4 linked regions of the Arabidopsis thaliana genome follow. The main gene of each other region encodes a partner of the protein of the gene in region 2 in a complex. Each region holds a gene or a part of one and is shown on either strand. Other genes may lie near its edges.

Region 1 (4,718 bases), on a different chromosome or scaffold from region 2:
TAATCACGAATAATGAATCACAGCTAAACTTTTATTAAAGTTAGAGAAAATAGTGACTCATAAGACATAGTATACTAGTTCATATCAGTGTTATTATCACCTTACATATTTGATCCAATATGAGTGTTTTGGTATATCAATATGAACCAGAGTTTAACCATTTGGTTGAACGCAAAATAGTTTTGAATATGTTTATGCAAATTGCAATAAACCCAAAATGGTAGTAAAAGAAAATACAACCCATAATGGTACTACTTGAAAGTTTATCATAAAACCGATCTCGTAAAATATAAGATTATGGAAGCAGAAATTATGTATGATTTCAGTAATGCTGTGAAAAAAAAAAGCAATTTATTCGAGTGTTTTTGAGAACAAACTATAATCAAAATAAATAATAATGGACGGTCCATGTTGGTATATCGTGGGAATATGCCTTAACTTTAACGACTATTATAAACCGCCACATCATTGTCTCATCTACTTAAACCAAATTCAATTTTGGCGACTATTCGTTTTCTTTCTTCTTTGGTCAAGACATTATCTTACAATGAACCACTTCTTACTATACCAAAAACCATTTCATATGATTAAAATAATGATATAGTTGTGTGTATGATTGAACATGGAAAAGAATATTCTTCAACTTTATAATATTGGGGGGTTGACAATTTCTGCATCATCCAAAATTCCAAATTAGATAAGAAAAAGCGCCATCGACTTATCAGACATAAATTCGAAACCATTACTGTTTTTTCCCTTGGATCGTTTCGTAAGCTTGGAAAGGAAAGACTGGTAAAACAACACTTGCAGGTTTTAATTGGCTGCTAAGAAAAGAGACGAACTGAGTCTAGAGGATAATTGATAAATGAAATGTGTTGTGACAAAAAATTATAATTTCCCTATTGAGTTTGTGGATAAACGAACTTATACGTTTATTATAATAATGAAGTCGCTTTCAAGATTCCAACCTCCTGGTTTTAAAATAACTCAAGTTGTGCATCTTCTTATTCCTACTATAATACTACTATAATACTTATATTCAAAAAAAAGATTCCACTTTGAATACAACAAAAATAAAAAAACTTATCATAATGGACACAGGCAAACTGCATAACAATTAGTAAAACAAAAACAAATTCCTTTGAACTTGCTTAATTAAGGATATGTTCATCAACTAAGAACCAAGCATCGCTAAAGATAGATTCCAAGGACCAGATAATACAACTTACATTTTCGTTACAAAGGTTCTCAAAAAAGATGATACAAGGCTTACCAGTTCTAAGCAATGTAGTTGATCTGAAACAGTCTGTTCATTCAATGCAAAAGTGCCCATCACATCTGAGGAAGAAAAAACACTTTGGTTAAGAACAAGCATCAAGATCTTGATGGTCAACAGAGAAAGATTGTAATTTGATGAAGTTTTGTTTTTGAGGATAAATATTGGAGCCTATGTGCAGTTTCAGTAGCTAAGACACATCAATATTCAAAAACCATTAAGAAGAGAGATCACTTTTTTTGTTTGTTACCATTGTAGTTACGCTTCTTCTTCAGAGCTTCACTTCCACATCGACACCAGCAGGAAGATCAAGTTGCATCAAAGAATCGATAGTTTGAGCAGTCGGGTAGAGAATATCAATCATGCGCTGGTGTGTCCGGATTTCAAAATGGAACCTAGCATCCTTGTGAACGTGAGGAGACTTGAGAACACAGTAGATACGCTTCTTGGTTGGCAATGGAACAGGACCCATCGTCTTTGCATTGGTGTTTCTCGCAGCATCAAGTATCTGCTTGCATGAGTCCTCAATAAGAGGCACCCAGTATGATCTAAGCTTGATCCTAATCTTTTGCTTTGGCGCCATCTGATAACACAAAAATAAATCAAATTAAACCAAACACAATGAAACTCCACAAGACCCCTTAAAACAAAACTCTATTGTGGCAAATCTTATGAAGATACCATCTAAAGACGATCAAGATTTCTATACAATTACTTCTCCTTTCCTGTATATACAAGATGATATCTACTTGAAGGCATTTCACACAAATGAGACTCTTTATCGCTCTGAAAAAACGTAGTAAACCAAAGAAGTCTATTGATCTGACAAAGATAGACATTGAAGACATCAAATTTGAAAATTTGCGTATCAATTTCTAGCAGTGACCTCTAACACAGCAATGGGCATTGGTGTTAGAACAGATATGATACTTTTTAGCGCTGTGAAAACGTAGTAAAGCAAAAAAGTCTACTGTTTTGACGAAGATGGACACAGAATTTAGAACACACCAATGCACAAGTACTCGTAAAATCTGTATTCTAGTAAGTGAGCTGTAACAGTAACGGAATATACCTTATCCGCGTCTACACTGATGGATGAAGAGCTCGGAACCTGAATCACACAGACACAAAGACTATTATTAACAGAATTAACATCAAAGTGCTAAATGATTCTGCAAAACAATGTCTTTCCCCCCCCCCCCCCAAATTTCGCATTAGCTCTGCAAACAATCGAATCCGAGACTGACAGAGGAAAGAGTGTACCTCAGAGGCGGGTTCATCGAGAATTTCTGGAGTTGGATCTAGGGTATCGGGAACAGCGAAGACCTTCGTAAGCGAGACGGATGGTTTCGTAAGGACGCAGGAACTAAGGCCGCCATGGGTAGAAGATGAAGGCAGCAGAGAGACTTTGAGTCTGGTAGAAGAAGGCGAAGAGCTTGGAATGCCGAAAGATGGCAATAGAAACGACGATACAGTAGAAACCGCCATTGAATTTTCCCAAAACCACGAATCGATTTCTCTTATTCTTCTTCCTCTTAACGTTCGAAGGATGAGGTTTCTTCTTCAGCAGCTTCTTCTTGAGGGTTATCCATTTTATCCAAAACCTTTTTCTCTCTTTTTTAAATGATGAGATATTATTTATTCTAAGCCCATTAATTCATTAAAAGGCCTACGCTTATTATAAATGAATACCCATTAGGCCCAAATTGTATAGTTTCTGTTAGGGACCAAAAGTACCCATTAGGCCCATATTTTATAGTTCTTTTGGGGACCAAAAATATTCTAACCTAGTAAAATATGATTCATTTGTCTTTCGGTATTTTCTTTCTTGTGGATTGTGATCTGTCTTTAGAAGATTCTTTTGTATCTCATAAATATCTTTTGGAAAATTCAACACACAAACATTCGTGAAGTAGATGGAAAATTTAAGAAAAGTGGAAGACAAAATGAACTACTTGACAAACAAAACCCCATGAAAATATGCAATGAATGTGGAAAAAAATGGACAATATAAATATTCGATGAAATAATACAAACTCATAAAATAATATTAATTTGAATACAAAAGACAATAATATCAAGGAAGGATTCCGTAGTTTTGATTTTTGACTTTTAAATGCATTGTTCTTAATTTTATCTGTAATTGTGTGATCCATAATCTGTAAATATATACCTTCAAATGTGTGATCCATAATCTCACACGGAAATATAAGGTGTTAGCGTAGTTCAAGTATAATTTTTTTTTAATAAAAGCAAAATACATGTAGAAGAAGCCTAACAATTAACATAATGATGTCGCCAAATCCATGCAATTTAAAGAAGGAAAATGACTTAAACCAATCAAAGACATAAAAGACAATGACATCTTCTAAATATTATTGTCCACAAGCCCTCACACTATTCAAAGACCAATCATCCCTTACTATTCCGTTTGTATTTGTCTCAATCATGAGTATTTTTTTTTATATATATCATCAAGCTATACATGACTTAAAAGTCATATTCCTTTACCATTAACATACCATAAAAGCTAAGTCATCATGTATAGCTTGATGATATAAAAAGAAAAAAAATCCGAATTCCATCAGAGGTCATAAAAGATTCGGAACTTTTGGAACACTAACCAGAGGTCGTTTCGCAATGTAACCAATAATAGGACATAAGAAAACATGGATTAGTTGACAAACAAACAATAGAAGAAACACAGAGACTTTTTTTTATCCACATAACTGGGAAATCACACTTCACACGTGGCATGCAGCCATGCAGCTTCAGAACAAGGGGTGGTTTGGTAAAATCATCCACAGATGCCCATTGCCTTTGGCTTAAATTCTATAAATACCAAAGCCGTTGAGTGTAGTGTAACGCTTTGCACAATTACACTTTAACCTGTTTAATTCCTTCTTCTTCTTCTTCTTATTCTAGTCCTCACCATTCACTCACAAAACCAAAGAAAAGAAACCAGAGAGATGGATCAAATAAAACCGGAGTTTCTGAAGAAATTGACCAAGTTTATAGCAGTTTCGATGTGGATTTTATCTCTTTTAACCAGCCACGACTTCTATTTATATAGGTTCATGATCCAACTCGTAACACACGCAGTAGATAAAAACTACATGTTCCTCCTCTGCAATGGTCTCGTAGTGGTTGTTGCTAAGTGTTCTGGTTTGGTCGCTTCGTCCAAACCAATAGAGAAAATTTGGAGTAATACCGATAAAACCTTTGATTATGGAGATTTCGAGAGTTACACTACGATACTGGAGCTAGAGTATAAATCTGATCATGGAATAGGAACAGAGTCCTTTCTTGCAGAGGAAGTTACAGTGGAGGAAGATACAAAACATCAAGAAACCGAGGACAACGAAGAAGAAGATGACGACGACAACACATTAGCAGATAATGATGGAGAGGAAGAGTGTGGTCTTCGTGGCGGATCTATAAA
Region 2 (2,721 bases):
CTATCTTTATTCTCGTCCGATTAATTAAGTTCCATCAAGGATCTATCAGACTATGAAGTGAATAATTTTATTTTAATCAAGAAATATTATTTCTTAAACTTCGAATTGATTCACAACATTTTGATTTTGTTTATAAAAAAATAGAAATCGAGATTCAGGTCGTCATTTTTGAGATCGTTTTGTGTTACCTAAATTTATACAATATAGGTTTTTATCCTTCATCCTTTTTGATTTGAAGTTTCGATCGAAGGATTCCTTTATGAACACAAGGTAGTGAACTCCATTTGTTAGAACAGCTTCCATTGAGTCTCTGCACCTATCCCTTTTTTCGCGCTTTGTAAACTCCGGTTTGTTCGCGTAAACCAGGATTTGGCTCAGGATTGCCCATTGTTAATTCCAGGGTTTCTCTGAATTTGAAAGTTATCACTTAGTAGGTTTCCATACCAAGGCTCAATCCAATTAAGTCCGTAGCGTCTACCAATTCCGCCATATCCCCTTTTTTAGGATCTCATTATGATGTCTTTCCTTTTTTTTCTTATGCCGAAACCTCGGGATTCATTACATTATAGATACTTATTTTATGTCTTTGTTATCTTCTTTTATTTTTTTGAGCTCCATCCATATTGATTTAGTCTAATCAACAAAGATTCTATCATTTTTGTATTTGCAATTCAATATGGTTATATATTACATAACATATATATGTTCTTTTTTTTTTCATCTTTGGCTTAAATTTTCAGAAATAGTCGAACGGTCGATTCTTTTTTTTTTTTTTACTTTCATGAAAAGAAATTTATTATTATTATTATTGAAACTTAGAATTCTACAATGTGCAATGGAAAAAAATTATAAGTCTACTTCGTAAATTTGAAATTCTAATAATTCTATACTATTCTATGACTATATAGATATATATATAGAATTAAGGTTATGTTTTATTTATTTAATGATGAATGATAGTCACTATTTATGTGAGCTATATTCTGTTCTAGAATATATAGAATATCATTAATTCTAACTAGATAAGGAAAAATATTAATAGAATAGTTAATTGATACGATCTAGTAGTTTAGTGAATTTGTATGCATGCGCTATTTTATTTGAGCCCGCTTAGCTCAGAGGTTAGAGCATCGCATTTGTAATGCGATGGTCATCGGTTCGATTCCGATAGCCGGCTTTTCCATATTTTTTCGTTTTTTTTTACATGATTTTTAATGTACTTTCAAAATCAAAGAAGATTGAAAAGACTTCTTTGACCTTTTTCCAAGAGTTACCACTCCATTTATATTATGTCATATAAACTTCCATATTAGGAATATATATTGGGTAAAAGAGTTTGATCTTTGCAAAATTAATCAAGAAAATAAAGGAAAATTTTTGTGATTTAGTTGATTTATATATATTGTATATACAATAAAAAAAATCTGTATATTGAGAGAATATATCTTCTTACTCTTTGTATTCCAATAGTGGAGTGTATTTCACGTCATTTATCATTATCATTTAGTTCAGTTTTAATTTTATTTAGTTTTGTACAATTTCAATCAAAAAAGGAGTCTTTATGTCACGTTACCGAGGGCCTCGTTTTAAAAAAATACGCCGTCTGGGGGCTTTACCGGGACTAACTAGTAAAAGGCCTAAGGCAGGAAGCGATCTTAGAAACCAATCACGCTCCGTAAAAAAATCTCAATATCGTATTCGTTTAGAAGAAAAACAAAAATTGCGTTTTCATTATGGTCTTACAGAACACCAATTACTTAAATATGTGCGTATAGCCGGAAAAGCCAAGGGGTCAACAGGTCAAGTTTTACTACAATTACTTGAAATGCGTTTGGATAACATCCTTTTTCGATTGGGTATGGCTTTGACTATTCCTCAAGCGCGCCAATTAGTTAATCATGGACATATTTTAGTTAATGGTCGTATAGTTGATATACCAAGTTATCGCTGCAAACCCCGAGATATTATTACAGTGAAGGATGAACAAAACTCTAGAACTTTGGTTCAAAATCTTCTTGATTCATCTGCCCCTGAGGAATTGCCAAACCATCTGACTCTTCACACATTCCAATATGAAGGGTTAGTCAATCAAATAATAGATAGGAAATGCGTCGGTTTGAAAATAAATGAATTGCTTGTCGTAGAATATTACTCTCGACAGACTTAATAAACCTAACTTAAGTAAAAAAAAAAATTACTAAAAACAAGAGTTCGGACAACTCCCCTTTTCCATTAAAAATAAAAAGGCACAAGGTAAGGGATTTTGTCAAAGAATATTTTTCCTATTCATGTATCATAGATTGGTAGGGAGATTGGGATCCCTTGTTTGCTCTTCCCAGCATTTTCCATATGAAAGAAATTAGGAATAGAGAATCTATTTCAAAATCAAAACAAGGTAGATCTTATATCGATTCTTTTTTATTGGATTTGATACATTGTGGTCAATCACGTAAGATTGGTGAATTTGTTGAAAGTACGGAAAGAGAGGGATTCGAACCCTCGGTAAACAAAAGTCTACATAACAGTTCCAATGTTACGCCTTCAACCACTCGGCCATCTCTCCGACATCAAGATTATGACTGAGTATCTGGGTGAATAGCGAGTTATTCATCGTTTTTTAGATTATGGTTAATAGATACCCTTTTTGACCGGAAAATTTGGAAGTAGATAGAAGGTTTTTTTTAATGAGTCCGCTTTTATGTTAGTTCGTACTATACAATT
Region 3 (4,140 bases), on a different chromosome or scaffold from region 2:
GCCCATAATGAGAAGTTTAAAAGGCTCAACTCAACAAGATTTAGTTATGCTAAGGCCTTACAAGTTACAATCAAACAGAGGATAGGGACCGTCGGATTTATCTGACTTCCTCTCCTTCGATTAGGGTTTCTGAATTACTACTCCTCTGCCAATTAGGGTTTAAGCCTCTCCAGCATTTTCTTTCAGCTCAAACCCAAGAACCTCATCGCCGATTATTTCTTCATCCTTACTCTATCCCGCGCCGATTAATCTCTCTCAGGTAAACTACTTCAATTTTACTCATAGACTAATTGTACAGAGATTGATAAATCCTATGTTGTTCCCATTAGAATGTTCAAGGGTTTATGATTATTCAGGATTTCAAATCTGAATTATTGGACAAATAAACCCTAATTTCGTATAATTTGCATATCATCAGTACCGTCCGAGATGAGAAAGCTCAAGTATCACGAGAAGAAGCTTATAAAGAAAGTAAATTTCTTAGAATGGAAAAGAGAAGGTAACCATCGGGAAAACGAGATTACGTATCGATACCACATGGGCTCTCGTGATGATTACAAAAAGTTGGTACCTTTATTTGCTCTTAAAGCTCTGTTCTACTTATTCTTCTTCTTCTGGTTCGAGTGTTTTGTGATGAACAATGGTCTTTTTCTGATTCTTGAGAATGTTTTTTCTTTTGGGCAGGTATTCAGGATTGTGTAGGATGGTGCAGAAACTGACGAATATAATGAAACAAATGGATCCAGCAGATCCTTTTCGTATTCAGATGACTGATATGCTTTTGGAGAAGCTGTGAGTTTTTTAAATATATATACCAGTTTGTTCAAGTATAGAGCTTATTACAAGCAATGGTTCTTTGTTTTCTCTAGATTTAGGTCGTAGAACATGAGACTTGATCATTTTCTGCAGTTTTTTACACCGATCTTATCTTAGAGACCTCCTGTTGTTTTTCTTGTTAACCACTTTTAGAGATAATTAAAATTGGGGGTCCTTATGCTTCTATATAGATTTTAGGACCGTTGGTTTGAAATCCATTAGAGGTTGAATTCATCCTGGTAAAATGTGTGATCTAATGGGTTTCTTTCAGAATCTGTTTCTTGAATAGCTTCTACATAGAGCTAAGTTACTATATAATATAGGCTTATTGTATAGGGAAAAAGAGCCATCCTACTGAAACTTGTTGATTGCGTAGTTCCACTCTGCAATGAGAAAACTTGTTCTCTTAATGGCTGACTGACTTGTGTTTCTTACATGTACGCTTGAAACGGCAGATATAACATGGGTGTTATACCGACTAGGAAAAGCTTGACTCTAACTGAGCGGTTATCAGTTTCATCCTTCTGTAGGTAAGAGTATATGCAAGAGCCTATATAGGCAGTTACTTAAACCCTTGATAGCCAAATGTTCTCATTTCGTTTGCCTCATATCGGTTCTTTTTTTTTATTTGCAGGCGTAGGCTATCTACTGTGCTGGTTCACCTGAAGTTTGCAGAGCACCACAAAGAAGCTGTGACATACATAGAGCAAGGACACGTTCGTGTAGGACCAGAAACAATTACTGATCCAGCTTTCTTAGTAACTCGGAACATGGAAGATTTCATCACTTGGGTTGATTCATCCAAGATTAAACGAAAGGTTCTTGAGTACAATGACACATTGGATGATTATGACATGCTTGCTTAGCTTTGAGGAAGTTAAAAAAGACTGATGTTTTGTAAAAGCCAAAAAAGGTTCACTGCTACTACTATTGCAGGGTTTGTTTGGATTTTTGAATATGCAAATGTGCTACTATTCCCTTGTCTTTAATCTTACTTTCGATCTATTTGCAAGAAGAAACTTGAAAACAAATGTCATGAAAATATTGAATCTAACTCATATTATCGTCAAATTGTATAAGTTGGAGCCACAGAAATGGATGAACATAAAATATTAAATCTAATTATTATTTGACACTTCAAATTACAAAACCCGTTTGATTCGATCCGACCCGACCCGACCAGAAAATCGCAAAACCTGTGTTTTTGCTTTCCCCGGTCTCTCAAAATAAAATTGCTCGCTTAGAAGCTTCAAACGCAGCTGAAATGGCGGTTCAAGCAAATCAGAGTGCTTCTTTTGGGTTCAGAACAGCTTCACCTTCTCAGAAGCTCTCTTCGAAACCCATAGCTCATATCTCTCTATCGACGAAGCTCAAACCCTCTTCTCGACCATCGCTTTCGTGCTCTACTTGGAATCAGGGTCAAATTCCGGCGAGACACTCCTGTATCAATCCCGGAATATTCGCATATCCCCCCTCCAATCTTACCTTCTCTCATGAACTACCAGAATCTGAATCTCCGCCACTTGGAAAGGTCAGTCATCGTCAAAAAACTTCTCTTGGAACAAATTGGGGTTATAAGCTTGTTAGACAAAGTTGCAGCCTTTTTTTGTCATTTGAACGAAAATGTGGTAAACCAAATGTATTGTCTCCATCTATTTAATTGTGGTAGAAGAGGCAGTGTGTGCTAGTGTTAAACCTCCCTTATGTTGCTTCATTGTGAAAACTTTTGTGAAAGGAAGTAGAGATGTATGATTCTTCCCTTGTTATCGTCATCTTATATTGCAGAAGAAGATGCGTGTGTTAGTGAAGCCGCTAGAGAAACCAAAGGTGGTACTGAAGTTTGTATGGATGCAAAAGGACATAGGAGTTGCATTAGACCATATGATTCCAGGATTTGGAACAATCCCACTTAGTCCATACTACTTCTGGCCTAGGAAAGATGCTTGGGAAGAGCTCAAAACTTTGTTAGAGAGCAAGCCTTGGATCTCTGAGCTTCATCGTGTCTTCCTCCTTAACCAAGCTACAGACATCATCAATCTTTGGCAATCAAGCGGTGGAGATTTGTCTTGATTTGGATTCACCAGATATATCTGTTTATCATAGGTATCATTAACTTTTCAAAGTCTAAAGCTTTTGTGTTGTTTAGTCTATCATTAGTCCTCTGTGTAATCATCGAAACTCGAAAAAACTTCTATCATTAAAATGGCGAATTCAAAACAAGAAAACAAAAGATCATCATCATCATCATGATGAACGTTTAATCGAAGTACTTAGACATTTGAATCGATTTATTACTCATCCCACATTTCTCATAGAACACTTTGTTCTCCACACTACAATCTAGAATCACCTTATAGCAACCCATTGATTTGCAATGATCCATAAGAAACTCAACAACTTTCTTCCCCAGCTGTTTCCCGCGAAACCTTGAATCCACAACAACGTCTTCAATGTGCCCAGCTTTACCGCAATTCCTCAGAAACTTCTTCTCTATCATCACACTACCCGTAGCAGCGATTTTTCCCGAAGTTTCTTCTTCGATCACGCAGATCACGTGGTCGTCACCATACGATCTGATTTCTTCGAATCGCCGATCGAATTCTTCGTCTGTTACTGATCCGGTGACGGTTAGTTGACCTAGAAGCTCGATGAATCCTTTTCTCTTATCGGAGATCTCCAGTTTTCGGATCTTGAATGTCTCAGCCATAGAATCAGATCGGATAATTTTGAATTTGAGTTTTTTTTTATAAGATCCAGTCACTCACTGGAACTGAATATAATCACCCATAGAAAAACAAATGTGATAATTACGAAAAGGTACTTATTCTTTTAGATAGTTACAAAAAGTTTCCGAATCTCTTAATGAAGTCAAAATGGGCCATTTGTTTTTTAAATTGACTTTTGATGTAACAAAAGCAGCAAGATAAAAACTCCATAGTAAACAATATTTATTGAAATGACAACAAGCCAACAAGTGAAAATGCAGAGGAAAAAAGTAACAATTTAAAGCGGATGATACATATAGATTACATAATTGGAAATGTAAGGAAAGGATTGCTAATTTAGGGTTGATGGTGACTAGAAAAGGAAGGTGAAAGAGGAGGGATTCCCGGGATGAGAGGGGCCGGAGGGATTCCAGGGATAAGAGGGACCGGAGGGATGCCAGGGAGTCCAGGGACCGGAGGGAGCGGAACAGGGAAAGAAGGTGGTGGTGGCGGTAGTGAAGGCGGATTCACGATAGGGACAGGTGGAAGAACCGGAAGAGGTGGAAGAGTCGGAATTGTTGGAATCGGTGGCAGAGTAGGAGTCGGGGGAGTAGGAAGT
Region 4 (3,942 bases), on a different chromosome or scaffold from region 2:
ACTATCACCAACGCTAACATTTCTATTCTTTTTGAACTTCATCAAGAGCCAAAGCCCCTGATCGGCCTCACAAAAGACACCATTTTCTTTGGTCTCCGGCAACAGAACATGGATTGGAATCAATCCCTAATCAAACCGGGTCAATTTGGCTTAGTCAAGAAACGTCCCTCTTATGTAACAGCTGTTCCAGAACGGCAGAACATTCACGAACATATAAATGGGTGTCCACTAACAAATTCAAACACATAACCATGATCACTCTGTCCTTTTTTCCATTTTTTTAAATATTCAAGTAAACAACATGTAAATTATAACGAATTTAGGTCGTCTCAACATCATGACTCATTCACATGCGTTGACTTTTAACCCACTAAACATTTTTTATAGGACCCCTCTCTCTCTCTATAAATTCGACCCCCTTTGTTGATAGATCATACAGAGAACAACAAAGAAAGAAACCAAATAAGAAGAAAAAGGAGAAGAACATTCAAATGGCACCAAGAAGTTCTTTGATCCGCTTCGCCTTCATCTGCATTGTCTTGGCCGTGATGGTCATGACTGCTGAGTCGCACAACGGAACCCACCACCATGGTCCGGCTATGGCTCCAATGCCACCCATGGCTAAGGCTCCGTCTCCAAGTGCCGCCACTTTCTCCGCCTACCCTCAGCTCATCGCCACCGCATTGGTCGCTGCTATGTCTTTCGTCTTCTGATGAGATGTGTTGCCATTCATCTTCAGAATATGTTTTACTCTCTATGAGATTTTATTTTAATTTTCACATGTATTCCTTCTTTTTTTGTTAATTCTTCAAAGATTGTGATGTTGTGTTCCTATCATAATAAAACATTTATCTCTTGATGTTTTTTTTATTATCTTAATCATATTTTCCTCTTTTTCGAACCAAATCTTCTAATCAAGGCATTATAATGGCCCGTTTGAGAAAAGGTGGACTTTCTTTTTAAAATCAACTAATTCATCTTAAGGTTATAGAATAGATAAATATCCGAAGTAAATATATAAAATAAATTGGGTCAGCCTAAACAAAATAATGAAATGCAGGCCTTACGTGACAGTAATGGGTACGCCTCAACAAATAATGGTGTATTCACTATTCAGACGTTGGTGTCAAAATCAATGAGTGATATCCTTATTAGAAGAACGACAAGCTTTAAACTAGTTTCATGTGTAAAGTACGAAACAATAAACATCATGAAAACACTCGAAATATTGTAGTAAACTTGCCAACAAAACCATGAGTACAAGTGTACAACTCCAATGAATCAGATATATATGCAAGATGGAAAAAATCCCCAAACACCTTAAAATACAACAACATGTGACAATAACGAAGTGAACGACCATCTCGATAAATAGTTAACAAGACTCATTCTCATCCGTTGACTTTTCATCTATACACTTACCATTTTTTTTATACAATCTTTTTCTATCATGACTCTATCCTCAATAGCTACGTGCCCACATGGAGCCAAGGCTCATGCCTTTCGTCTTCTGATCAAATGTGTGTCATTGATCACACCATTCATCTTAGTTGTTAAGAAAATATCTGTAAATCATTTTTTTTTTCATTTTATAGTTGTATCACTTTATTATAGTCCACTCGGTTTTTGCATTTTTGTTATAGTCCACTAGTTGGGCCGTGTTATACAATAGCGAGCCTATCTCAACAAAAAACAAAGCCCAACAAGTATTTATTTTGCCAGTTTTGTAAGCAATTAATTGAATAGAGTAAGTAGAGACGGAGCAAAAACAAGAGAAGCGTTTGGATTCGACGTTTGCCTTATCCGTTCAGCTCATCTTCTTCTTCTTCTTCGTCACCTCTGAATTAGTTTCCCAGAATCCGAAATTCCTAGGAAGAGAACATAACAATGGCGCAGATGGTTGCGATGCCCGTAGCGCACTCGCTCTCACTCATTTGCAATTGGGCAAAATCCAATCCTCTCTCTCGCAACACTCTTGCCCTCCCAGCTTCAAACACTCCCAATGTAATCATTTCTCTTGGACTCTCTCTTGCGTATGATGTTGTAATTTATCGAGCTTGACTTCATGTTTTTTTATGTGTTACTTCATTCTTGTTCGTCAATTTTTGGGTTAGGGGTGGTTATAGAACACTCCATCAATTTTTGGGGGAATTTGTCTCTGTGTTTTTAAAGTTTTTTTTTTTTTTTGTAATGAAATGCAGAAGCAGAGTCTAAGCATCAGATGTGCTCGTGTTGGTGGAGTGGAGATTCCGGCTAATAAGAGAATTGAGTACTCTCTTCAGTACATTCATGGGATTGGTCGAACTAGGGCTCGTCAGATTCTTGTTGATCTTCAGATGGAGAACAAGATTACTAAAGACATGGCTGAGGAAGAACTCATCATTCTTCGTGATGAAGTCTCCAAGTACATGATTGAGGGTGATCTGGTAATACACTTTCCCTTACATTTACACACTTTAGGACATGAGTAATGTGCATCATAGTTTCAGTTTCTGTCAGTCCATTCTCGAGCAGTTTCTTGAAGATTGGAGAAGAACTTAGGCTGCTATCTATTTGGTGTTTTCATTGCTTTAGTTTGGGTTTCCTCTTGTTTTGATTTGGTTCTTAGGCCTTTGTGAATGAATTATTGATTTGTGTTGTGGATGTTGTGCAGAGGAGGTTCAATGCTCTTGCAATCAAGAGGTTGAAGGAGATCCAGTGTTACCGTGGGGTAAGGCACATCCAAGGGCTGCCATGTCGGGGACAGAGAACCAAGAACAACTGCAGGACTCTTAAAGGCAAGAAAATTGCTATTGCAGGGAAGAAGAAAGTTTCCAAGTAATCATCTTCATGATCTCCTTCTTCTTCTGTAATACTCTTTTTAGTTTGTCTAGTCATCTCTGTTTAAATGTGATTTGTAATTCCCAAACCTTTGTTCGAACTGAGCCCTTTCCAGTTTATCTTCGGCTTTTTAGCTATTATTATTCCGTATCTTCATCATTCATTATAAAGTTACAAAAGAAGTTGAAGATTTCAGCATTCAAGAATGATGACAAACCAAGAACAAACTTGAAAATTTGGTCGAACCAAAAATGGTTTATTCAGAATACGTACATATGAATACATAAGTAACCAAAAAATAAAATTTTATAGCTTTTGCCAAAAGACTCGATCTTGGATTGTCTCTAATCCTACCCAGAAAATCTTGCTATCACACAAAAAAAAGGAAGAAAATGAATAATAACAGGGTAAAAATTTTCAGTAAGAGAACTCATGGCCGCGGAGTGAAATGTATTTCTTGACCCAAATGGCAATATCTTCGGCGCAGGCCTGTGCCTGAGGAGTCTTGAGAAGCATATCAAGTGTAGCAAACTCATGAACTGCGTCTTTGTATTCTAAAACTGGAGAATCTACGTTTACCTTTCTAAGCTCTTCTGAATAAGCAATGGCTCGGTCTCTCATCCAGTCATGCTCAGCTACTACTGTAAGTGTTGGAGGCATTAGCTTCAGAGGTGGTCCACTGCGGTTATGGGCAAGTGGGTTTGCTGCCGGGTGGTCAAAGTCGAACTCTTTCTCTGGTAAGAAGAGTTTCCAGGCTAGAACAGAGACAGGCTTATCGTAGAAGTAAGAGTTTGCCAGCTTTATTTCGGACTGTGTTGGGTTGTTTCCAATGAAAAAGGGGTACATTAGAACCTGTGCAACAACTTTCACCGGTTCTAGAAGTTTCCCAGCTTCCACTGCTTTCCGAGCTACATAGTCTGCTATGTTCCCACCACAGCTCACCCCGAGAAGAACACATCTGTTTTAACATCATATGAAGCAACAGGTTGAGACACAGAAGTTGATGTGAGATTGCAATCAATGGAAGATAAGCTATCTTAGTTCATCTAACTAGTTGTCCAAAGAATCCTGACTTTGTACCAAGTTACTCCTAGATCAACATGAAACTATTCTTAAGATCTT

Evidence for each region.
Region 1: rps4 (region 2) and AT3G13120 share a complex: the UniProt entries of both Arabidopsis thaliana proteins name them as parts of the 30S ribosomal subunit.
Region 3: rps4 (region 2) and PSRP3/2 share a complex: the UniProt entries of both Arabidopsis thaliana proteins name them as parts of the 30S ribosomal subunit.
Region 4: rps4 (region 2) and EMB3137 share a complex: the UniProt entries of both Arabidopsis thaliana proteins name them as parts of the 30S ribosomal subunit.

The regions. Positions count from the first base shown.
Region 1 is NC_003074.8:4,218,763-4,223,480, forward strand, and holds AT3G13120 (Ribosomal protein S10p/S20e family protein), read right to left. Parts: upstream 2,886-4,718; 5' UTR 2,765-2,885; coding exon 2,540-2,764; intron 2,388-2,539; coding exon 2,349-2,387; intron 1,860-2,348; coding exon 1,548-1,859; 3' UTR 1,527-1,547; exon of another isoform or gene 1,511-1,526; intron 1,339-1,510; 3' UTR 548-1,338; downstream 1-547. Other genes in the region: AT3G13130 (uncharacterized protein), read left to right, coding at 4,246-4,718.
Region 2 is NC_000932.1:44,669-47,389, reverse strand, and holds rps4 (ribosomal protein S4), read left to right. Parts: upstream 1-1,561; coding exon 1,562-2,167; downstream 2,168-2,721. UniProt on the Arabidopsis thaliana protein: One of the primary rRNA binding proteins, it binds directly to 16S rRNA where it nucleates assembly of the body of the 30S subunit. With S5 and S12 plays an important role in translational accuracy.
Region 3 is NC_003076.8:5,141,020-5,145,159, forward strand, and holds PSRP3/2 (Ribosomal protein PSRP-3/Ycf65), read left to right. Parts: upstream 1-1,970; 5' UTR 1,971-2,080; coding exon 2,081-2,347; intron 2,348-2,601; coding exon 2,602-2,886; 3' UTR 2,887-3,073; coding exon of another isoform or gene 3,074-3,523; 3' UTR 3,524-3,587; downstream 3,588-4,140. Other genes in the region: AT5G15750 (Alpha-L RNA-binding motif/Ribosomal protein S4 family protein), read left to right, coding at 430-563, 685-792, 1,272-1,346, 1,451-1,682; GNA1 (glucose-6-phosphate acetyltransferase 1), read right to left, coding at 3,074-3,523; AT5G15780 (Pollen Ole e 1 allergen and extensin family protein), read right to left, coding at 3,879-4,140. UniProt on the Arabidopsis thaliana protein: Component of the chloroplast ribosome (chloro-ribosome), a dedicated translation machinery responsible for the synthesis of chloroplast genome-encoded proteins, including proteins of the transcription and translation machinery and components of the photosynthetic apparatus.
Region 4 is NC_003076.8:4,616,718-4,620,659, reverse strand, and holds EMB3137 (Ribosomal protein S13/S18 family), read left to right. Parts: upstream 1-1,678; 5' UTR 1,679-1,887; coding exon 1,888-2,004; intron 2,005-2,201; coding exon 2,202-2,426; coding exon of another isoform or gene 2,427-2,471; exon of another isoform or gene 2,472-2,653; coding exon 2,654-2,821; 3' UTR 2,822-3,237; downstream 3,238-3,942. Other genes in the region: AT5G14330 (uncharacterized protein), read left to right, coding at 109-221, 440-713; CXE16 (carboxyesterase 16), read right to left, coding at 3,238-3,778. UniProt on the Arabidopsis thaliana protein: Located at the top of the head of the 30S subunit, it contacts several helices of the 16S rRNA.